4 linked regions of the Arabidopsis thaliana genome follow. The protein of the gene in region 3 interacts with the protein of the main gene of each other region in a pairwise test. Each region holds a gene or a part of one and is shown on either strand. Other genes may lie near its edges. The genes, in order: SOS3, CBL9, CIPK1 and CBL3.

Region 1 (7,160 bases), on a different chromosome or scaffold from region 3:
GAATTTGACATCAATGGGTACAACAATGATCAAAATGGTTCTTCAATTCCTCAGCAATAAGAATCAAATACATGCGTATTAACGGAAAAAGGAATCGTCGATTGACACTGGAAAGATGGGAACTTGTTGAACTAAACGAATTTGAAGAGGAAGAGGAAGATGGAGATTAGAGTTGAAGTTGGTGGGCTTACATTGGAAATGGAGCTGATCAGAGAGATTGAGAGATAGAACTAAAACTGGTTTGGTCCGTCTTGGAGATAGATTAGAGAGAGATTCCTCGGCTTGCTTTGTTTTTCAATTTTTATATATAATAAAGTGTTTATTCAATTAAAAATTCAACATTATTTAATATCTAGAATGTATAAATAATTTTACTCAAGAACTAATTAAAATAAGCAAAAATTATTTTCATAAATCATCTACTTTTAAAATTTCGTTTGATATATATTAATATTATCTACAATAATAAACCATGTGTGTACAAATTTTTTATTGTTATTCTAAAAAAAACACGAATATTTTCATGTAACAAAAATATGAATATCCGCAAAAGGTGGATCATATATTTTGGTATATACAACAATGAAGCAATAATAGACTAGATTTGTAAATATTTAATTAGTAATTATGTATGTGAGATGGAGAGTCGCTATGTAAATAACTAAATATATACAGTACACAAGGCAAGTCCAATATCGTTATCAAGATCGGTTTATTTCCAAATCCTAGCTTACATCTCTATCTTCCTCTTTTAAGATATTGTACAAAAATATTCGTTTTATGTATATTTATCTTTCCTTGCATGGCTTATATTAGGAAGATACGTTTTGCAATTCCATTTCTTCCTCTTCACAAGATGAAACGAAACTTGGAAACGTCCTATTTATGTCCCTACATTTACCAAGAATCTTCTGATTAGTCAATTTGATTCAATGCAACAATCAAAGCAGTTGGTTTGGATCAAAGTTGGTCACGGTGTAAATTATGAACTCACTTTAGATATGGCAAAGTCATGTTCTTGATGAGCGATGGATTCAAGGATACAAAGTCTTTCCATTCATCTATATCGATTTTTCCGTCGTTTTTGCGGTCTGCTTGCACGAAAGCCTGCAAATATATACCACCATTTCCTTATAAATTCTTTATCATATCATCTTCAGTATTGGAATTAATATCTAGTAAACAAATGTGCATCGGTGTGGGAGTGATTACCTTATCCACCATTACTTCAATCATATCTTCGGAAAGAACTAGTTCGGATTCGTGAAGAAGCGCTACTACCATCTCTTTCAACTAATCAAAATGTAATTCATTATGGTATATACATGTTAGATCAACACACATAAACGTTAGTGGAGTAAAACTGTTTAATCTGGAGGGTACCAAAACAAAGTATCCGTAAATGGACTCACTTCTTCTCGCTCGATGAATCCAGTTTGTCGTAAATCGTACAACTTGAAAGCAACTGCAAATTCATGAGAAAATTCTTTGTTAGTTAGCCAATTAAGAAAAGAATATCAAGTAAATTCACATAGAATGAATATGAAACAATTTTTGGGGCTAGAAGAATGACATTTGACTTTTTCATGGACCGGCGCGCTTGGATGGAAGACACCTAAGGACCGGACAAATTCACCAAACTCGATCACTCCATTTCGCTTCACATCAAATACATCAAATATCTGCATATTATAAAACAGAACTTTGTTTAAATTTACATATGTTTTCAATAATGTCACTTGTTCTAGCTAGGTAGTTACTATATGTACCCGATCAGCGAAGAGATTCCTCCGGTTCCTATTTCTGAATAAAGCCAGCTGAAATTCTTCCTGCAACATCAAACTTTTAAACTCTAATTAAGCTATATAGATTACCTAATTGCTGTCTACATATGGACCTTTTAGAGTGAAAGAAGAAACCTTATGAATAAGACCATCATCGATAATTGAGCTGCTTAGCTTCTTGAACAGTTCATACAAAGCCTCCACTTCTTCTACCGTGACTATTGTCCCTCCCATTACAAGTAAAATAAAATTTGAAAAAGTTTACCAAACTCTACAACATGCTATTGTAACATTTAAAGATTGTCTTACTAATAAGATTTTAAACTAAAAACTAACATGGCGTGACGGATGCAAGAAGCTCGGGATCCTCATATCCCGGTGGTCGCATTGCATTCTTCTTCTTCTTCTTCGATACAGAGCAGCCCATACAAACACACCCTTCTCTCAACTGTTATTAGCCTTTGCTTTTCTCACGCTACAACCAAACGCAAATAATCTTGGTTAATTTACAGATATTTCATTGTTCCTAATAATTTGATGATTTTATAAAACACCCTTCGACTGAATCCTACATTCGTTTTCGCTGGTTTTACTTCTACTAAAAATGGTCCTAGAACAAACCAATTAAGATCGAGTGCAATTAATAATAGGCAACTTGTTTAGTTTGTCACGTTATTGACTTTTCTAGTGTTTTTTTTGTGGTCAAACTCAAACAAAGTAAACATATTTTGGCAAACTCACGAGATTACCAAAATGTTTCTAATGAAATTCAATATTTAATTACATATACATACATGAAATATTAATGTAGATGAGCACTAATCATGTACATCTAATGCATGTATATATATATCGTCTATGTATATGTAACATTTGAATTTCGTTAAAGGCAATCTAGCGTCGAATTCATCAAAATCTGCAAGAGTTTGACAAACATCGATATTAAAATTTTGAAAGGGTCGACGTTTGAGCAAATATACAATAGAAGTCGACGGCTATACGAACGATTATGTCATTGGTTTATACATTTTTTTTTTTACATAATAAATACATAGGATATAGGTGGCAAAGTTAGCCATTAAAATAGTTGTAGCTTTCACGACAGCTAGTAAGCTCTCCCTAAACAATCAATTCATTAACAGAAGTAGCCAAAATTAGAACAAAAACAGCGTTTTCCCTATTTAATCTATAATTTAGTAATGATTCACAATAAACGTAATGAAACCAAATATTATATAATTCACAGAAGGTGTAGGCAAGTCGCCGTATTAGCCACGCTAATGACTAGGTGTATAGATATAAGAGATAATTAGTTTACTCCTAATTTTATTATCCCTAATAACATAGATAAATGATCAAAGTCTCCTATGATATATGCATACATATAGATAATACATAAATACAAATACCGGATCAATATCAAATCTAATCGACGTTGGTCCACGTATATACATGAATCAGTCAATGTACTCTAGTAAATATCTACAAAGATGTTTTCTTTTCTTTTCCAAATAAGCTTGAACCTATGTCCAACTCAATCACAAGAACACATTTAAGCGAGTAATACAACCATGTCGTAAGTTTAGGAACATAATAAGAAGCCGGATAGGTTGAATAAATAACGGCTTTGAATGGTAACTCATTATCAAAGTTGTACAAACTGTACAACTTTGACAGTTACCATTCAAAAAAACTTTATCAAAAACGTTACAAAAAGTTTTATTCTAAACTTTTCTGTACAGCTCTTTTAGACAGTTTTGTACTATTTCGTAACAGTTTACCGCTCCAGCTAACAGCTAAAGTTTTGTGTTACCAATCAGACCCAACATGATTTAAGTTGTTTTGGTGAGTACATTTTTAAGTGAAGAGAGACTAGAATGGATTTTGAACGAAAAGGATAGAGAACTAAGAGAAGAGTTACAATATGAATGGCCATGGGACCACATTAAAAAGTGATGCTTTATCAAAAATCAATAATCACGAGATTGAGACAACCTTTTGTTGCTTTTTTCAATGTAGGCAATTTATATGTGTTTTACTAATAAATAAAACAAAAAGGGCTTGATTACACTTACACTAATATCTAGAGACTATATAGTATATTTAAATCTCGTTTTGTTCCAAAAAAGCCACGTAAAATCCTCAACCATACTAGCATTTAATTTGGTACATATCAGAGCCTGTCTTTGACCAGGCAAAGCGAATCTTGAACTTGGAACCTCAAATCTAATATAGTATATATTTGAAAACTACATGAGCCTAGTTGGTTAATTAATGAATCATTAATAATGATCAACTAATGCCTAAGGAAGGTTTTGGTGCATTTGGCTTTTCTATGACATTTCTAATTAATGTATTAATTTATGGACCATTTTGATTTTGTTATGTGTGGAGCCTCCAAATTCTCATTACCTGTTTTTTAGATCTATACGTAATCATACTCAATGTACGTCGTGTAAACAAACTTAGACATATCTAATTTAGAAGCAGTATTTTCATCTTGTTGTTTACTTCTCGCGATCTTTTTGTATAATTAATAACAAAAATGTTGTTTAATCAAACCGGCCACGCAGCAATATGACGTTTTAAAATTAATTATTTTCTCTATAAGTATTTAAATAGTAAAAATGAAAAAAAAAAAAACTTGCAGCTATTGACTTTTATAATTTATTTGCTATAAATAAGTTTATTAGGTGTGGTCTTTGATTTTTAGTAAGAAATCAAATTTGCCATCTCCTCTCCTTAGACTCTAAATCACCAAAAGTGACACAAGAAACAAAAAAACAGTTCTAAATATCTAATGGCTACCAACTAATTAAACACCCACCAAAATCGAACCGAGATGGACCAAACCGGATATGATCCAATTTGTAATCTCTAATCTGAAATAACTTGATTTCGATTGAAACCAAAACCAAAGCCAAATTCCATTGAATGATTAATGGAATGTTGGAAACTATACACTCAATTAGAAGAAAAACAAAAATCAAACGGTTCAATTCAGTCTATAGCACTAAAGAACTCAATTGAGTCAGTTTTAAAGAATGGTTTTGCTTTGGTTTGTTTGTTTTTTCTAATATTTAACCGAATTATACTAAATCTTATCAGAAGATTCCTGGAAACACGGACATATTTTGACTCTTTCTTGAAGAAAACCCAAGATGGGATAAACTTCAAGCTCATAAACCTCCATTTCGAAAAAAAGAGAGAGGAAAACAGTGAATTCCTTTACATATATCTTGAGGTGGACTAAAAATTACGAAACAGAAAACCAAAACATGGAAGTGATAGAAAAAAAAAACATTGGATAGAGATGAAAGATTTTCTCAGCAATGGTGAATCGAAGAAACAAAAAAAATAAGATCAAAAATAACTAACCAAGATATGGATGAATCTCTATATGTTCTTGTCGACTCTTCACTTGTCTCGATCTTGAATAATTGAATAATGGTGTTGGAAGAGGAAAAGGGCAAAATGAGAGTTATTTAAATAGAAGAACAAATTTGTGACGAGCTTCCCAACATCGGGTTAGGTTTGTGTCCGTCCATGCGCAGATGGATCCCGATGTTATGTCGGTTTTGAAAATATATTTTTATATCGTGTACTATAAACTATATAGCAATGTTTCCTCGACCTTCTATTTATGACAAACAAAAAAAATATTAGAGTAGTACTGTTTTCAAGTCCCACCTCACTTTTTAATTTCCTTTTGTTGACACTTGTGGTGGTTGTTGGCAAATAATCTTTTAAAAAATTATAAATATGAGAGGCAGTTTTTGATATAAAAATAACCTAAAATATTATTCACTTCTGAAAATACACCAATTTTAAAAAAGTTAATTATATATTTCATAAGAAATTTTGTCTTACACCTTCGCTTGATGTGTTTGTCTTGGACCTTAGTTTGATGTTTGATATAAATAAAATGGACACTCTTGTGACCAAAAAAAAAGTCGCTAATATATTTCTTAAACTAACTAATACAAATTTTCTTACAGATGATTGATAATTACATTTATACGTATGCTCATTTTTGTAGTAATTATTATGATTCCGATAAAAATGAACTCGATTGTTTATGAAAATTTTAACAATTACCATGAAAACGTAACTATGAAAGAGATATATCACATTCATCATCGTCAAGCTACCAGATTCCACAATGTACATCACTTTTTATAGGGTTTGGAACTTGTCAGCTGATCATACCCGTCCTATAAGAGAGCTTCCTACTCTTACATAAAAAAAAACATGACAACACTGAAACTACATGTGCCTAACTTTTCTAACTTTCGTCATGATCCACAGAGTTTTATTTTCTTAGTTCAATTACAAAATCTTTATTTTATTTATAGTTGACCCATCATTTCATTTGCACTTTTTCAATTAAACAAAAAATTACGATGTGAAATGATAAATTTTCCTTCACTTTTTGCCCACTAGTATTCTCTTTTTGTCTGTTGGATTGGTGATATTTTAAAAGTTTGGTTTTGCTACCATGGCTATTTTCTTATAATATGTTCGTTATGGTTCAAAAAATCTAGTTATTTAAAAAGATCATAGCAGCAAGATCAAAAACAAACTTTTGAAATAGAAAATTGGTGAACAAAATACCATTAACCGAAAAAGAAAATGAAATTTCAGAACAAAAGTGACTAATCCAAAAACACAAAAACCAAACCGATAACCAACAGGTAAACAAACTGTTTGAATCGTTTTAGGTCCAGTTTTACTCTCATTACTCTAAAGACTGAGACTGGATTAGCTCTAATGAGTTTGTGACATTGTGATATTTTTCATTTGTTTTCTTCATTTTCTTGTCTACCTTACGCATTGAACACTTCTCCTCCTCTATCTTCTTCGCTGCCATTCTCACTTTATCTCTTGCTGCTTCCATTTTTCTCAGCTTCACTTCTTCATCCTCCTTTAGTGTAATCGGGAAATGAAATTCCGGTATGCTGATCCAAAAACCATAAATCATATCATCCGCAGTAAATACAGATGCAAGGAATAAAACTCGAGTTTTGAGCTTTACAGTTTAAATTCAAGAACTAAAACGGATACAAGGATCAAGAAAAGGTCAAGTACCTGCACCCGGAATATATGAATCCGTTATCTTTTGCGATAAAACCATCTAAAGAGACTGCACCACCACCATTGATGTGTGGAAGAGCTGCTTTAACTTGCTTTTGGGTCTCTATACCTGTAAATTCCCAAAGAGATTATAGAACAAAGTCTCTCTAAGCCCGTATCCTGAGTAAGTTTGAACAGTGAGCTCCTCTGGAGCCAAATCAATCATGTTCACGGCATAGCCCTTGAAACCCGGTATGGGATCTCCATCGGGCAGCTTTGGGTCATCCATGGCTAATTTCTTCT
Region 2 (5,189 bases), on a different chromosome or scaffold from region 3:
GATTCTCTATACCATGCCATTTTTCTTTTTTTAGATATGGACAACGTCCCACTATCACGCTCATCTAGATTGTGCCAGGGGAAGTGTCATCTTCCGTGAGAAATTTCTTTTTGGTATCAACTCTTGAGTTTCATACAAATGATTCTTGTCTGAACTCTTGAGTTTCAACTAAATGATCCTCAAACTTGGCTTTTGTAGTCAAAGAACATGGAGGATATGTAAAAGCGTCGCCGTACAGGGGGATTAGAGAGAATCACTCCACAGCATGGAATGTCTGAATCCGCTTGAGTTCTTTAGCTACTGGGATCATCATTGGTCTGTCTTCATCTCAAAGCCGGCACCACACACGTCAATTCGGATTTATCGGTTACAATAAATTCAGGTCTGGTTTGATTATAATTTTAGTTTCATTTTGGTATTTTTGAAGTTTTCAATTCCCTTAATAATAATAAATTGATTTATATGGCTAATTTCTTCTGTCTAAGCATATTTGACTTTGATTTCTCGTTACATAAAACATAAAGTGTTGGAATAATTTATGAGCAAAATCAAATCTTTAATCAGAAATTGTGGTTTTATATTAATCTTTTCGTAGAACTACAACTTGAGTATTCAAAACTGTTAAAGAAAGAGAGCCAAAAGTAATCGCAATACATGAAATTGAAATCCAATAGACTAAAAATTCCAAAGGAAATAGAGCTCGATCCTGCTATATAACATTGTTGGAATCAATCTTCTTTTTATTCTTGGTCCAGCCTACGACTTGGTCTCTATAAACCAGCTTGTCTTGTCTCTTTCACGTCGCAATCTCGTCCACCTCCGAGTTAAATACGAAACTCGGAAATGTCGTCGTTATATCCCTAAAATTGAGTTTTTAAGTCCTCAAACTTGGAAAATGGCACCAAAACTGGCCAAATAGATGGAAGTATCATAGTAAGGAGACATACCTGAGATACGGAAGAGTCATGATTTTAAGCAAAGATGGGTTTTTGATAACGAAATTGCTCCATTCTGTCTTATCAATCTTTCCATCCCGATCCACATCTGCGTCCTCAAATGTCTGTTCACGAAAAGAAAAAAAAACTCGAGTTTCATAAAACAGTCTTTCTTTTGACAGAAAACAAACTTGTAATAGACAACAAGTAAACCTGATCAAGTATCATCTCTATTGTATCATCAGCCAGTTTCATTTCAGATTCGCAGAGAAGTGCAATCAACATCTGCTTCACCTGCCAAAAACGCATACACAATTATGATTACTTATAGATGATGCAGAATCCATAATACTGAAAGTCTTTGAAACATAGATTGTTTGGGAATGGAATGTGAAGATATAGGACCATTGTTTACCTCTTGGCGCTCAATGAAGCCTGTGCAGTCCATGTCGTAAAGCCTAAAGGTAACTGATATATGAAATACAGAATAACATGAATAAAAGTACAGCAAGGCTTTAGAGAAACGACGATGGATATAAACTCGTTTATGGGTCAACTTACAGTCTGTTTTCTCCTCTAGGGAAGCATTAGGATGGAAAACATTGAGTGATCTCACAAAGTCTCCAAAATCAATTACGCCTTTTCGTTTAACATCAAATAAATCAAATATCTGGAAAAAAGAGCATTACCATTAACTACTTATAATAGAACTAATCGTTACGACTAACTACAAAGTTACTAAGGCCAAAGAAACTTAGAATTTACCCTATTGGCAAACAAATTTTCTTTCTTTCTGTTCTTGAACAAAGCAAGTTGAAACTCTTCCTGCATAACAAGTTGGTCGAGAAAATAAGTAACAATATCCAAGAGTGGGCCAAGAAAACATCAATTTTTATAAGCAAACCAATATAAAAAATGGAATTAAAATTCAAGTCAACTATCATCAACACAGAGACTTGGTGAGCAATAAGGAGCCCACAGCTCAGCATGGAGATTCAATAATAAATTTGTGAAAGTCAAGAAAGTTGACAAATAATACGGAATATGGATAATGGTGCAATGAATATTATTATGTCACTGTACATCACGCATTCAAGATTCTCCCATGAGGTGCGAAATAATCAAAGGGCTATGAGATTTATCATTACCTTGTTTATCAAGCCATCGTCAACAACCGAGCTGCTTATGCTCTTGAACAATTCATACAATGCTTCAACTTCACTAACACTAACTAGAAAAACAAACAAATAATTAGCCACACTGCGAGATTTCTCATCAACATCATGTATATCACCAAAACAAAAATCGAAAGTGATGGTTCTTGAAAACTTTCTCTGATTAAGATTCCATTTGAAAGTAGAAGTAAACTACACTAATGATCCAAGAAACTATTGAAATAGGTTTATGTGATGACTTAAGTAACAACAAGCATCATTTAACAAAGTTGTAGATCAAATAGATTATGAATGAAAGAACCATTTTTCGGATTCAATAAATGGCGAAAACAGATTCTCATATCAGTTAACAATTGATAAAAGAGAGATCTTTATGCTCATGCTCTTTGAGAATAAAGCAAAGAAGAGAAAACGAAACGTATAGTGCAAGTAAACTTACAAGCAGTCTCAGAAGCAAGCTTCACAGGGTTTTCGTGATCGGGAAATTCTCTGGCAGCCGTGGAATGGAAACAACCCATTTACGGATGACAAGAGTAAAACGAAGAAGAAGAAGCTTGTTCCGGAGGTTGATAAAATCGCCAAACTCTACTACAATTTCTGAGATTGTGAAAAAGCTTGATTTCTGATATTACTCACTCCCCATCATCATCATAAGCATCTTTAAAAACTACAATGATTCAATCAAAAACAAAACCCAACAAAAATTGAATTAAAAGACGAACACGATAATTGAATAAGTATAAACCCTAGAAAAAATAAGCAGCAGCTATGTGGCAATCGAATTCAGATTAACAAAATTTTGAATATTAAATCGGAAATTAAACAGGTAATGTAGGAGCGGCTCGAGAATCTCCGAACCCAGAAACTGAATGGTGAAATCGAAAAATTGAGCACTTACCACCGAGAGAACGGGCTCGCCGGCTCGGTGAGAGAGAGAGAGGAAGGGATTTTGATTTTTGAGAAACGAGAGAGAGACGAAGAAGAAGATCTCTGACCACGATGGTAGATGAATTGATCGGACGGCTGAGATTAACTTCAGACTTTGCTGGGCTTTTTTTGTTCGTCAGAGGCCTCCGATTGGGGAAATTATGAGAGAGTTTGTTTATAACATGATCGTCGCACGTGTGAGGGTCTGAACGCGTGTGAAACACATCCTTGTCATTTTTACCTCTTTTTTTCTACCAACCCCATTTTTATTTTATTTTTATTACAGTGTGGGAAGAAAACAAAGCCATTATTGTTGTTTGACATTTTAGTTTCGAAATTTCAACTTTCAACTTTCCTTTTTTATTGGTTAAGAAAGTTAATCATTTTTACAAGTTTTCTTACAATTCTGCAATGATTTTGTTTTGTTTTTGTTTTTTTATTAAAAGAAAAATATTTAGACTCGAATTTTGTTTTTATGTAAGTTTATAACTGTAAGAAAAAAAAAGTGTAGAGAGGTAACTAGTACTTGTAGAGTCAAGATTTAACATACTCAAAAGATACTAAGAATGATATTTATTTGTATAAGATATAATTTTCAAATTGGATCTTTCATTTTCATAATCCATACAGATGTCAAGATCTCATAGTCTTCAAGATCTTGCAATAAATAAATATTAATATGATAACCCAACTAGCAAGGGGACTAATTACTGTATTTATCTATATATTCAAGATTCATGTAGAGTGTGTTTGATAATAATTTCAATATGGGTCATATACCTTTTGGGATAAACGAAGAATTATAATAATTCTGGTCACATTTTAGTAGTCTAATCAATCACGTAGGACAAACAAAAATCCAATAGTATAAAGGCGGTCTAAATAAGAATTATGGATTAACATAATTACTTTTATATAAACCATAAGACATGATCTAATCATGTATATTATCAAATTTTGAAACTAATTAAGTACGTACGCCATCCAACAATCCAATAATGTAAACTATATAATGTTCGCCTAAAAAAAAGAAATGGATTAGCATATCCATAAGACATGGCCAAATCATGCATGTTACGTATATTAAATTTGAAACTGGGATCCTGGCTCTAGTAAGAGTGGTTTATAATTTTATATTGGGTTTAGAATTCCAAATTAAATGGTCAAATTCTTTCATTCCAATACAAGCAGAAACTTTTATGATAGTAAAAAGATTATGAGAAGACTTATGAGGTGTTAAGAAAGTGGGAGATGTATTATGAGGAGGAGAGATTATGAGTATAGTAAAAAGATTATGAGAAAAAAGATTATGACAATAGTAAACAAGAAGGTCCATACAGTATCCATGTTTTTCAAGAAAGTGGGAGATGCCAAAGTCCTGGACCTAATATTTTTGTTTTAAGTTTTGATAACTAACTAATTTTTTTTAAATCAGACACAAAAATAAACATAGACTGTTGATATTTTAGAAAATTAAGATCTATTAAAAAAATATTGTATTTTCTTATAGATAAACAAAAAAAACTTTTTTTTTACTAAAAGACTAATATCAAACTGTCCTAAGGTCCCTACTAATTTTGGGCCGGTGGTCCTGACAAGTGACAACAGTTTAATGGTCCATTTTGTACTTAAAATTGAGTCAAATTAGTTGCGGCAATAAGAGCAGAGCAGTAATGTGTTACACCCTTAAAGGACGTTAGTACTGAAGCCCAAATTCTTTGGAGGTTGGTTGGTTGGTTGATGAAGTGCGGTTTTGATTAATTCACAAATATGACTTACTTGATGACTTTTCACAAACATCCATCTGGAAACGCTACTATTTGATGATGTATTAACAGTAGAAAGCATATTAAAAAAAATAAAATCTCTTATTGATTAAATTATCAAGCGTCAAAACGAAATAGGTCTGCTTTACAAGTCAAAGACCTTCGATACATTATCTTTGAGACTACTTCATAGAGATTTTTAAAGCAGAAAGATTACAAAATCTGAAGATCAGTAGTTCAGTAGAGATAAACTTTCACTGATTCACAGATTATTGCATAACAAAAAAAGGAAAATGAAAGATTGTAAGAACTTGTTCACTTCTTTGAAGAAACTGTTGATGAATCTGGCTCTTTCCATGCAGCTTGCCATTGTTTGTCATATAACG
Region 3 (6,590 bases):
TTTGTTATGAAAAAACAAAACTTCTCCTTTTAAATACTTCATTAATTGTTTACCATTACCATTGTTGATTTGGTACATATGATTTCTCGTTCCATCTTGGGTTAATATCTCTTTAATTAATATGTTTTAGGGTTATTGGGCTCGTATATGTAGTGAGAGACTCTACATAGGAAGCTAGAGTTGTAACACGTAGAATCAAAGGCTAATATTAATGTTTCTTAATCAATGGTTAATATCTCTTTAGTTTAACATTAAAAGAGCACGAGCAAAAGAATATAACAAGAGAAAATTGTGGTATAAAATATTTGCTTGAGAAAGTTTATATAACCACGAACGAGTTACTCTTTTATTTATTTAAATTTATATATATAACACACCTAGTCATCTACACACAAAAGAGAGAGAGAGAGAGGTTCTGATAACATAGATCAATCAATATGTTACTCACTGCCGGCAGCAATACTATCACCGGCCATTTTGACACGTTTGAGAGACTCGAATAATTTTAATTATTGGTTTTTTCTCCTTTTCTATATAGTATCTATTCATTTCAGCCACATCATTTACTAACTACAAATTTTAATAAAAACCTTGGGAAAAAGATGTGTAGAGAAACATGTGACATATGACCTTTTCATTACCAAAAATATGTTGGGACGACTGACGAGAGCTAAGAACCACTACATTCTTCAATAATCTATGTATCCAATAAAAAGATATAATATGGAGTTTTCCAAATTCAAGAGATTAGCCTGGTGCCCAGGCCCTGGTTTATTGAAACTTTTGGATTCTCAAAAACAATTTATTTATTTTAATTAAATACACAAACCGCATAAGAAAAACAAATATAAATTGAATGGTTCCATGTGATTTAATTAATTGTGAGCCGACAAAGGACGAGACATGAAATATAGTATAAATTACCATAGTTTTTTTTAAAAAATATTAACTTTAAGTGTATCATTAACGATTGTGTTTCTAAACGCTTGCCTATATTGCGAATTAAAAATTTGTAAAAGTCTACAACTAATATTATTAGTCTACAAAGACAGAAACAATATAAAACTGAAAGCACCATGTTTATTTCCCCCCAAACCGAAAGCACTATCGTAAAAAAGTGTTTTAAATCTAATTATCAATTCATGCACGATATCGACGTATATAAATGGTTTATTACCAAATTATCTCTTAAACTGAAAATGCCACGACAATGAAGACCTACTGTCTATGAAACCAAGTCATAAGTTCAAAATTTCCATAGAAACGAATGGGTTATGAACGCGTTGTTTAATTTGTTGTAGTGTGTATATATAACTTGATCTTAAGTTTAGGTCTCTTTTGATCTCCTCTTTTATAACAAAGGTACAAAACTAAACTGTAACTTTAAGAAATCATAGTTGGACTTCAACTTTTAAGTAACTCCAACATGAAAACTTGGAAAGTATGTGATTCCTTGTGAACTTTTATGTGTATACAAGTTTGTTTCTACATTTAAGAACTAAAATCCGAAAGCCAAATCAAAACTGCTCCAGTAACAAGAACTATAAAACTGCAAGCACCAATCTTTTTGTAGCGTTTCTTTCTGACTTTAAACCAAAAGTTCTTATGAATATATTTTTTCATCTATTATTATTTAATTTCAACATAAAACTAATGCAACAAATGACGTGGGCCTATTGATGCATACAAGTACACACATAAAATACACACATATTCGCAATATACATCATATATAGAATTATTCTGATAAATCAATATACTCTTTGCGTATATTTTCCATATTTTGATTGTTGACAGAAATAAGATCCTTTTTAAATTTCTCCTTATAATGAACATAGACATAATTTCATTTGATAGGAGTTTTATTTGACCAATAATAATAAATCTCGATAAGTACCCTACTAAAAAAATCTTATTTCGATAATATCAAATCTTATATGGTTTGTTAGATTAATCTTTTTCTTTTGTGAAGATTAATATGTTTCTAGTTATCCAATAAAAATCTGGCTAACAAAAACCAAAAAAAAATAGTTAACGAGGAATATATATATAAAAAGAAGTGAATATAATAAGAAGAGAAGAGGAAACAAAGAGAAGTAGCGTCCTCTCTTCAATTTCAACCGGCACTTTCTTCTCTTCTTCTTCTTCTTCCCAATCTTCCTCGTCTCTTTACCTACACCTATATATATATATATATATATATCTCCTTCCCTCACACACATACCTGCACAGCTACAATAATCTACTTCCCCTCTTTCAATAACGGAATTAATAGTAATCTAATCGGAAGATTCAAGCGAGAAATCGATTTGGTTGTCTGTTAATTTGTTGGGAAATAAATTGAAATAGGAGATTGATTGGATGGTGAGAAGGCAAGAGGAGGAGAAGAAGGCGGAGAAGGGAATGCGTCTGGGGAAATACGAGCTAGGGAGGACGCTCGGCGAGGGTAATTTCGGTAAAGTTAAATTCGCTAAAGATACCGTCTCCGGTCATTCCTTCGCCGTTAAAATCATCGACAAGTCTCGTATCGCCGATCTCAACTTCTCCTTACAGGTTCCCATCTCTCTATCATCATTTCTAATTTTTTTCTTTTCTCTTCTTTTACTAAATTTGTAATTTGACAGATCCAATTCTTATGAATCTGTGCAGATAAAAAGAGAGATCCGGACTCTGAAAATGTTGAAACATCCCCACATTGTTAGATTACATGAGGTCCGTATCTTAAATTTTTGTGTATAATCATCTTTGGATTATCGAAATGATTCTGTGATTAGGAAGTAAAAAGGTTTATTGCTTAATTAGTATAACAATTTTTGATTATTCTTCTGTTTGCTTGTTTCTGTTTATTTAGTATATACCTGAGTATGACAGAAAGTGATCGAATTATTGCCTGCTTATGGATGGTTATTCAAATTTTGATTCGTCATTTTAGATTGTTAGATTAGGTTTAGTAAACTATTTTTAGTTAATTTCTTCATTGTTGTTTCTTTATCTATCAAAATGGAGCTGACGAGGATTAAAAACACCTCAAATCTTGGATAATTGTTGTTTGCTTTTTGGATCTTTTTTTTTACTGTTTAGGAATATTCTTACAAGTCATTTGGTTTCGTACCCAAACATGTTTCATTTAGCTTGTTTTTCACGTTGCCAATTAGCCGCATCATTTTACATAATTATTAAGTTAATTATTCCATTATTTGATATGGTGGCTTGGCCGGTAACACAAATCTGACCTGTTCAATTCAAAGGTGGGGTCCTAAAAAAAATTATCGTGAAAAATGCAGGATATGTCGCTTGATCATCATATAATTGCTTAATCTTAGTACCCTTTTAAGCTTTTTATCATGTGGACCCTCTTTGATCTTATGCTTAGTTTTACTTTTTATTTTATTTTATTCATATAGTATTATTTCAGATGATTATTGTATGGGTCATTGCTTGCTGTATCTTTGCGTTTTATTGTTGACTTCTAATTATTTCGATTGCTTCTTCCTCTTTGCCATTTAACACGAGATTAATCGTGACTTTTGGTTAAGCAACCATTGTGGATCTTCACTTATTTGATACACGTGGTCCACTTTTTAAGCTCGTGACTAACTTTGTCGTGTCTTGGACAACTAAGTGTTTTTTATGTAATCTGTGGATATGAATGCAATTCGAATTCTAAATGTTTCTTTTTCTTTCTTGTGACTAATCTTTTGGATTCTCAAACATGAAACATCTTACCTCAGAACTCACTGTTCCTTTACCTTGAAACTAATGGCCTCTTCCTTATGGTAATCATGCAGGTCTTGGCTAGCAAAACGAAAATTAATATGGTAATGGAACTTGTTACCGGAGGAGAATTGTTCGACAGAATTGTAAGACTCTTACTAGCCTCTATGCTCAAAGCAAAAAAGATTTTTTTTCTTTTTTTGACGAGTGTCATTTTTGCTAAACTCACACTTTGATGATAACTCTCAGGTTTCCAACGGAAAATTAACAGAAACTGATGGAAGAAAAATGTTTCAGCAGCTTATCGATGGAATCAGCTACTGTCATAGCAAAGGTGTTTTCCACAGGGATCTCAAGGTCTGTGATTCTCTCACTGTGTTTCAAACCATGGAAACCTTATGGAATAGTGTACTGATGTTTTTCTATATTGCAGCTAGAGAATGTTCTTCTTGATGCAAAGGGACATATAAAGATCACTGATTTTGGCCTCAGTGCTCTGCCTCAGCATTTTAGGGTACTTGAAAATATCATCTTAAAACCATAGCATATCACAGCAGAATTATAATTGTTGAATCCGTTCGAGTTACAACTAATTTTCTCTTTGGCATTTTAGGATGACGGATTGTTGCATACAACCTGTGGAAGTCCTAATTACGTTGCGCCTGAGGTTTTAGCTAACAGAGGCTACGATGGTGCAGCATCAGACATATGGTCCTGTGGTGTAATCTTGTATGTGATTCTAACCGGATGTCTTCCTTTCGACGACAGAAACCTTGCAGTTCTTTACCAGAAGGTAAACCTCATTTTTTCTTATATATATGCCAATTCAATACACATTTTGAAGAAATAAGCTTGATAATTGATTTGATTTCTAGATATGTAAAGGAGACCCACCAATACCAAGATGGTTATCCCCGGGTGCAAGAACCATGATTAAGAGAATGCTTGATCCAAATCCAGTCACGAGGATCACAGTTGTGGGTATTAAAGCCAGCGAGTGGTTCAAACTTGAGTACATTCCTTCAATTCCCGATGATGATGACGAAGAAGAAGTTGACACAGACGATGATGCTTTCTCAATCCAAGAACTCGTAAGAATCTGCCACCCTTACTCTCTATCGCAACTGCATTTGAGTCAAGTACAATGTCCTCATTTCTCTGTCTCTCTTTTGAATGGTCTAGGGATCAGAAGAAGGGAAGGGCAGTGATTCACCGACCATCATCAATGCGTTTCAGTTAATCGGAATGTCTTCCTTTCTTGACCTGTCCGGTTTCTTTGAACAAGAGGTAACTAATCTTCTAATACTCTGTTTCAAAGATCTGCTCTCTGCTTGAGCCAATGTATAATAAAAAGGAGTTATACTTTTACTTTCTCAGAATGTATCAGAGAGGAGAATAAGATTCACTTCAAATAGCTCAGCAAAAGATTTACTGGAGAAAATCGAAACAGCCGTTACAGAAATGGGATTCAGTGTACAAAAGAAACATGCCAAGGTGGGTCTTCACAACATGGTCTTCCTCTTCCTTAGCAACTTGGAATTTCAAATCTGTAGGTTTATAAACTTTAAACTGTATTTTGTTTCAGTTAAGAGTAAAACAAGAAGAAAGAAACCAGAAAGGTCAAGTTGGTTTATCAGTAACAGCTGAGGTATATTAACTATTACGTAAACATTATTTCACTGTTCAATAGACTATTTAGTGAGATTATTTGACTAATAGAAGAAATTCTTATGATATCAGGTTTTCGAGATAAAGCCGTCACTGAACGTGGTTGAGCTAAGAAAATCTTATGGCGATTCATGTTTATATAGACAGGTATGCCACTATTGTCATTTCTTAATTAGACTGAAGAAACACATATCAAAGATAAAAATGTTTATGTTTGATATTGGGGTTGGTGCAGTTGTACGAGAGACTATTAAAAGACGTGGGCACATCCTCGCCGGAGCAAGAGATAGTAACTTAGGTGTTGGTGTTTTCGGCTGAAGAGATATACATAGCTCTAATAATTTATCATATGGAACACACCATCCATGTTCATATAATTTATTATCTTAAGTATATATAAAAGGAGCTCGATTTATATGATTAGTGCAAATAGTAATTGCATTTAAGTATAAACCGTGGCGTAGATCTTTCCTCAAGAATTAGAGATTTTATTCACTACCTTTGTATTTGTTTTTATTATTATTTGGTGTGGCAAATCTGCCTACTAGCAAAAAAGATCCCATAAAAAATCTCTTCATTATTTTTGTAAATAATATACATGTGTTTAGTTTGTATCTGTACATCATTCAATTCCGCACCAACCGATCTACGTATATAAATTTTTAGTATTATGCTATGTTGCTTTCGTCTCATAAAATACTCTCAAGAGTCATGAGTCATGTGACCTATCAACATTTAGCGTCCTGGAATGTAACAATTGTAGTTTTAAAGTTAGTCAAATTCACAACTTGTTCTTGTTTTAGTTGGAACTTGAATGTAGTGCAAATAAGCCAGGAATCAAAATAATATATCTAGTCATAGATTAATCAAACGATTTTACTACAAAAACGCAAAAACGAATAAACAAAAAAAGGAGATTGAAGAAATTACGTCCTTACCTGTATCGACTAATACTGAACCAAACTTGGAACATAATTGAAAATAAAACGGCTCACATGAGTTCATAAAAGGAATGAACTTAGGCCATTCGCCAAAATGGATTTCTGTGTATTCACGGTCCTCCCCAACAATGTATACAAGGTTCTTGCTCGCAAGTCTGTTACTTGTCTCACAACCCACATAGCAAGGCCATTCCTTTCTCCTTGTCGATGAAGAAACTGTCATACGATAACATAGCACGACCACCAATGTCTACATCTACCGTAAAG
Region 4 (5,041 bases), on a different chromosome or scaffold from region 3:
TTCTTAAACACCTCATAGAGTGCCTTTCGCTTTTTCTGATCCGTAAAGCATCCCGTGGAGTTGGAAGAAGCTGAATTTCTTGTTGAATCCATGGAGAGTCGTGTAGATAGAAACTTTTTAGCCAAGAAAGAGAGAACAAATCGATGATCAAAAAAAGAGATTGTCAACGCGCTCTGATACCTATTCAGATCTTTGAGACAGGGAAAACATATATATTAGGAAAGACCGAAAGAGTAAGTAATTTATTCCTCAAAGTAAACGTGTTTATGCAGAACACAATCGTCACTAACTTTGCTAATTACTTTGTCAACTCTAACTGACAAAGTCAACCACAAGACTAACAAATCCGATTGTTGTAATGTTGCATCCGGTTCGATCAAATCGGTGATTTCAATTTTGACTTCAGAATTCAGACTAGAGCATACCCGATCATTTGGTGTTGGGTTCTCTCTTTTTTGCTCTCTATTATCACTTCATCAGTTTGCTCTTTATTAATAGGATTCATGTCTCAAGGTTAGTAGTATATCTACAGATGCGAGGAGAAAATCAGCAATCAAAATCAGGAGTAGCAAAAATACAGATTTGTTTTCTTTACTTTTAATTCACACAAGTAACAACAAAATCTTGAAAATGTTCAGAGAGATTGAAACAAATAGACATGATACATAATCAGAAAACAAACACAATTCCCAAATTGTCTCCTCTGCTAATATGCTATTGTTTTTCTCAGGTATCTTCCACCTGCGAGTGGAACACAAAGCTCGGAAATGTAGTTGTTATATCCCTGCACACAATATCAGAGATCGGTGTTAATAATAACACAGAAAAAATTGGAAGTTGCATTGCCTAAACCTCGGATAAGTCTTGGTTTAGGAACTCACTTAAGATACTGGAGAGTCATATTCTTTAGAAGGGAAGGATGCCTGAGAACAAGGGTTCTCCACTCTTCCTTATCGATCCTCCCGTCATGTTTTGTATCAGCTTCCTCAAATGTCTGTGAAAGAAGAAACTTAGAAACCACTCTTTACTTTATTCTCAACTGCTATCATGAGTTGGCTATACAACAGTGGAACAAGAATATAGTATCGAGCAGGGTAGGAAGGAACCACACCTTGTCGATTATACTCTCTATGATTTCGTCTGACAGGTTCATGCCGGACTCAGCAAGAGTAGCCACCACCATTTGCTTCACCTCTTGCCTCTCTATGAAACCTTGCTGCTTAAGATCATATAGCTGAAACGAAACTGCAAAACAATGTTCCCGGTAACTGTTAGTGATATTTCATGGGTTACATGTAGCATGTCAACATCAGATAAATTGTATAGATGGTTTCTCAGATCAACTTTGTAAGATCAAAGACGTACAGTCAATCTTGTCTTCTATGGGAGCATTTGGATGAAAGACAGAGAGAGCACGCGCAAACTCCTCAAACCCCAGTATTCCATTATGCTTTGTGTCAAACAAATCGAATACCTGTGATTGGTACTGTCAAGTTATCTTTCAAAAAGGATCTTGGCAAATGGATAACAAAGTCTTTTGATTAAAAAAGAAGAACATACCCGGTCTGCAAACAAGCTCTCTTTTTTATTTGTCTTGAACAAGGCTAACTGAAATTCTTCCTGAACGACAAGACAGGTCAAGGAAAATCAGAAAAGGATGTCCAAAAGACGTAGCAATATGCATGATTCGTGAGGAGTATAAGTGAGTGGCATAAAAGACATATAATGATGCCCTTCCTTCATACCTTGTTTATTAGCCCATCATCAATCACAGCACTGCTGATTTTCTTAAACAGCTCATAGAGAGCCTCTATTTCACTCACGCTAACTGCACCCAAACGAGTCAATGATCAAAACACAGAAAGAAAGATTTGCATTCCTCTTAACAGAGAGCATCAACTAGAGTAATGGCAAGCCTTTGAATCATACATATAACTGGAAAAAAAAAGTGCATGGAAGTTAAAATAAGATGGAAAAGAAGTTGAGAGCATACAAACTGTCTCTCTCGCAAGAAGTTCAGGGTCACCAAGGCCTCCAGATTGTTTGTAAATATCGATATCAAAACACCGGAAAAAAGAGGAGCATACATGCTTGAAACCGTCTATGCACTGCGACATGATATATCTTGTAAATCAAAACTCTCCATGCCTGTTAAATAACAATAAAATGTAAGAACTTTCGAACCACTTGGAAGAATCTAAAGACATATGCATTTGAACAAGATAAGTACCTTTTAACCATTTCCTGGTTCGTCAAATAGGCAATGCTTTGTACACCTCAAAAAATTCTGCGATGGGAAGGAAATGAGATATAGTCAGTTATTAGCTCATCAAATTGCAAAACAGTTAAAGAAGAATTGACAGGAGCAAACAAGATTCATCATTCTCAGATCAGATCTGAATTAGACTAAAGCACCAGATACTATGAAACACAAACAGAGGAGACGCATATTATAAACGGTCGTAAACTTTATGCATTAATCTTAACTCCAGATTCATTTCCAGATTAACCAATGTATTCATGGATTAGGAACTATCTTTAAGCTAAAACACGAAACCCAAATCTAAGAAACAGCCCCAAAAAATACATGAACTAGGATAAAATGAGGAATCAAAAACACCCAATTTCACGTCAGAAATGCATCATGAATTTTGCGGGGAAAAAAAATGCATCATGAAGAACATAATAAAACTATCCAGACGGATTAATCGTCAGAAAATATAATCCTCTGAGGATCGACACCTGAATCTAATCGCGATATGAATCAGAGAAGTGATTAAGCTAAGGAGAAATGACGGATATGAGAAAAAGCGATCCAATGAGTTTTAGATTCCAAATCGTTCGGATTCAGAGATACAACAACGATGAATCTCGTTATATAAACTTGGTAATCAGCTCATGGATCTATCAGCTTGCGAAGAAATTAGTTGCTTGATTCTCAATCTCAAATTTTAACTTGTTTCCCATCGCGATTTTCCCGGAATAAACACACGAGATTACGAGGAAGCGACCGACCGCGAAATCGTAGAAAAGGGAGAAAGAGAAGAAGAAAAAGCCTTACGCCACGGCGGATGATGAGCCTTCCTTGCGGCGGCTCCGGCGGTTGAAGGTGACGGTGGTTGCGGTGGAAAACGCGAAAAAAGCTCTTATTGGGTAAGTGAGAGAAAAAAGGTCGACACGATTTTCTATAAGCAGAATGAATATATTGCAAAATTTTAAATATGCTAAGAAAAAGACCAAATTATTTTTGTTTGTTGGCGTTTTTATACTTTTTAAATTTAAAAAATAAATAATTTTGTTTATTTTTACTCGATGTTGATACAGTTGTAATAAAACTCCTTGTTACATTCACTTTCACACGTCGTCGTCTAGTGGAGCATGTGTCCATTTATGCGCTGTCTTAAACACCATCGTTTCAATAATCGTTCCTATACGACGGCGTGTCATGTTATTCGGATTCTGACTGTTGCTTTGGTCTGATTTGGTCTCTGGGTTTGAATTCGGTTTAAATTGTCTTTGGAAAAAATATTATAGCAAAAACCAGTATAAGCTTAGTTACATTAACCAACAATTAAAACTTTGATTAATGGTAAGAGAGGGACAAACTCTACTGGTAAAACAACAGATTGATCATGTTTTTTAACTTTTTTTTTAGGTAAAATTACAGTTACTGGTGAGCTACTTTGTACACAAGAAAAAAAAAGGAATGATAACGACATTCACACAAGTAAACGTGTTTAGGCGGCAACAGAAAAAAAAAAAAACACATATATGGTACTTGGTCAGAGATTCAATCTTGTGACTCATGTATTGTTTTGATTTTTCAGTTAGGGAGATCTTGTTTGCAAAGAGGACAACACGAGATGATACGAAGCCATTGATCTACGCATTTGAGGTGAAACCTATGCGAACATGGAAGCTTTCTCACTTCTTCTTTCTCTTTGTACTTTGCCAAACATATACAACATTCCTGCAATAATGAAACCGGTGGGTTTCAGTTTTGATATCAAGATTGATTTCTGACTATTTGACCTATTTCAGAATTCAAATTAGTGCTTACCGGATCATTGTTTGCTTGAGAAGAATCAGAAGTTTCATCAATGAGTTTGTATTTCCAACTTGGGAGACTGGAGATCTGGTCATCTGAAGCTCCTTTTTCCGAAGATCCAACGTTCATGTTGTAGCCGAGGAAGCTACTAACGAGAGGTACAACACAACAGAGCAGGAGGAAGAGAAGAAATGGGAAGGAGTAACAGAGAGCGTTCCAAGCGAGTAGGGAGATGCAGAGGACATGAAGGATTGGAGCATAGTGGAAAGAACCAAACCGAGAATCAAAAACCCATACATTACCTATCACAAACCATATCGCAAAGAATAGCTCCAGCGATGTCCGGCATTTGTTCATCAAATGCGAGCACCTAAAACACACACAAAAATAAGTCATTTTCCTAGAAATCTTTGCATTTTATGATCAAACTTGAAAAAACTAGATTTTTGTTAGTAACCTGGTGGTCTCTTCCCTGCTTCTTTGTTGCTGCTCAATATCGCCGAAGCTAAATGCATTTTCATGGCTAGTATCTTGCTGACGATACCGACCGTATAGTAACATAAGATTGAGCAGACATCCAACGTTGTAGCCAGTGATCCATAACCTCATCGGCCAAACAGGCCTCTCGTTTTTGGACAAAGCTAGTGTGGATGTTATCACAGTGATCTGTAAAAGTAAAGCGATGAGCTCTGATACCATCCAAGCGATAGAATTGAAAGGATTGGTGCCAAGATCGGATCTTGAGGCGTTCTGGTAATGAAAGACTCTTCTCAAGAAAATGAACCACCTTGCTCTAGATACCCTCATGGCAAGTCTCATGAAGAAGGAAGAAGATGGAGAGCTCTCCGGAGCCGTGTGAGTGTTATCATCCAGTTGCGTGGAAGCGAAGGAAGAAGATGAGGAGACAGTGATGGAGTTAATGGCTGATGATTGCAACTGAGAGGAATAACGGGTACTCATATCGGAAACAGAGAGGTCTTTGATTTGATCTCC

The links.
Region 1: the proteins of CIPK1 (region 3) and SOS3 interact in binary tests that used the Arabidopsis thaliana proteins (3 or more experiments, as listed by UniProt).
Region 2: the proteins of CIPK1 (region 3) and CBL9 interact in binary tests that used the Arabidopsis thaliana proteins (3 or more experiments, as listed by UniProt).
Region 4: the proteins of CIPK1 (region 3) and CBL3 interact in binary tests that used the Arabidopsis thaliana proteins (3 or more experiments, as listed by UniProt).

What each region holds. Positions count from the first base shown.
Region 1 is NC_003076.8:8,237,969-8,245,128, forward strand, and holds SOS3 (Calcium-binding EF-hand family protein), read right to left. Parts: upstream 5,476-7,160; 5' UTR 5,163-5,475; exon of another isoform or gene 2,260-5,162; 5' UTR 2,212-2,259; coding exon 2,121-2,211; exon of another isoform or gene 2,019-2,120; coding exon of another isoform or gene 2,003-2,018; coding exon 1,920-2,002; intron 1,843-1,919; coding exon of another isoform or gene 1,830-1,842; coding exon 1,770-1,829; intron 1,683-1,769; coding exon 1,574-1,682; intron 1,466-1,573; coding exon 1,413-1,465; intron 1,294-1,412; coding exon 1,213-1,293; intron 1,108-1,212; coding exon 995-1,107; intron 892-994; coding exon 813-891; 3' UTR 515-812; downstream 1-514. Other genes in the region: AT5G24275 (En/Spm-like transposon), read right to left, coding at 6,982-7,160.
Region 2 is NC_003076.8:19,129,100-19,134,288, forward strand, and holds CBL9 (calcineurin B-like protein 9), read right to left. Parts: upstream 3,206-5,189; 5' UTR 3,009-3,205; intron 2,778-3,008; 5' UTR 2,629-2,777; coding exon 2,550-2,628; intron 2,167-2,549; coding exon 2,084-2,166; intron 1,761-2,083; coding exon 1,701-1,760; intron 1,606-1,700; coding exon 1,497-1,605; intron 1,404-1,496; coding exon 1,351-1,403; intron 1,230-1,350; coding exon 1,149-1,229; coding exon of another isoform or gene 1,092-1,148; exon of another isoform or gene 1,061-1,091; coding exon 948-1,060; intron 861-947; coding exon 797-860; 3' UTR 541-796; downstream 1-540. Other genes in the region: LIL3:2 (Chlorophyll A-B binding family protein), read right to left, coding at 5,119-5,189. UniProt on the Arabidopsis thaliana protein: Acts as a calcium sensor involved in abscisic acid (ABA) signaling and stress-induced ABA biosynthesis pathways. Contributes to the regulation of early stress-related CBF/DREB transcription factors.
Region 3 is NC_003074.8:5,988,399-5,994,988, reverse strand, and holds CIPK1 (CBL-interacting protein kinase 1), read left to right. Parts: upstream 1-1,987; 5' UTR 1,988-2,361; coding exon 2,362-2,553; intron 2,554-2,649; coding exon 2,650-2,712; intron 2,713-2,910; exon of another isoform or gene 2,911-3,773; coding exon of another isoform or gene 3,774-3,788; coding exon 3,789-3,860; intron 3,861-3,963; coding exon 3,964-4,071; intron 4,072-4,147; coding exon 4,148-4,228; intron 4,229-4,327; coding exon 4,328-4,507; intron 4,508-4,589; coding exon 4,590-4,805; intron 4,806-4,896; coding exon 4,897-5,001; intron 5,002-5,091; coding exon 5,092-5,208; intron 5,209-5,299; coding exon 5,300-5,362; intron 5,363-5,454; coding exon 5,455-5,529; intron 5,530-5,617; coding exon 5,618-5,680; 3' UTR 5,681-6,065; downstream 6,066-6,590. Other genes in the region: AT3G17500 (F-box family protein), read right to left, coding at 6,491-6,590. UniProt on the Arabidopsis thaliana protein: CIPK serine-threonine protein kinases interact with CBL proteins. Binding of a CBL protein to the regulatory NAF domain of CIPK protein lead to the activation of the kinase in a calcium-dependent manner.
Region 4 is NC_003075.7:13,407,882-13,412,922, forward strand, and holds CBL3 (calcineurin B-like 3), read right to left. Parts: upstream 3,190-5,041; 5' UTR 2,743-3,189; intron 2,288-2,742; 5' UTR 2,231-2,287; intron 2,149-2,230; 5' UTR 2,118-2,148; coding exon 1,994-2,117; intron 1,829-1,993; coding exon 1,746-1,828; intron 1,621-1,745; coding exon 1,561-1,620; intron 1,487-1,560; coding exon 1,366-1,486; intron 1,246-1,365; coding exon 1,112-1,245; intron 995-1,111; coding exon 882-994; intron 785-881; coding exon 727-784; 3' UTR 541-726; downstream 1-540. Other genes in the region: CBL7 (calcineurin B-like protein 7), read right to left, coding at 1-92; AT4G26580 (RING/U-box superfamily protein), read right to left, coding at 3,824-3,970, 4,061-4,418, 4,506-5,008. UniProt on the Arabidopsis thaliana protein: Acts as a calcium sensor. CBL proteins interact with CIPK serine-threonine protein kinases. Binds calcium ions. Binding of a CBL protein to the regulatory NAF domain of a CIPK protein lead to the activation of the kinase in a calcium-dependent manner.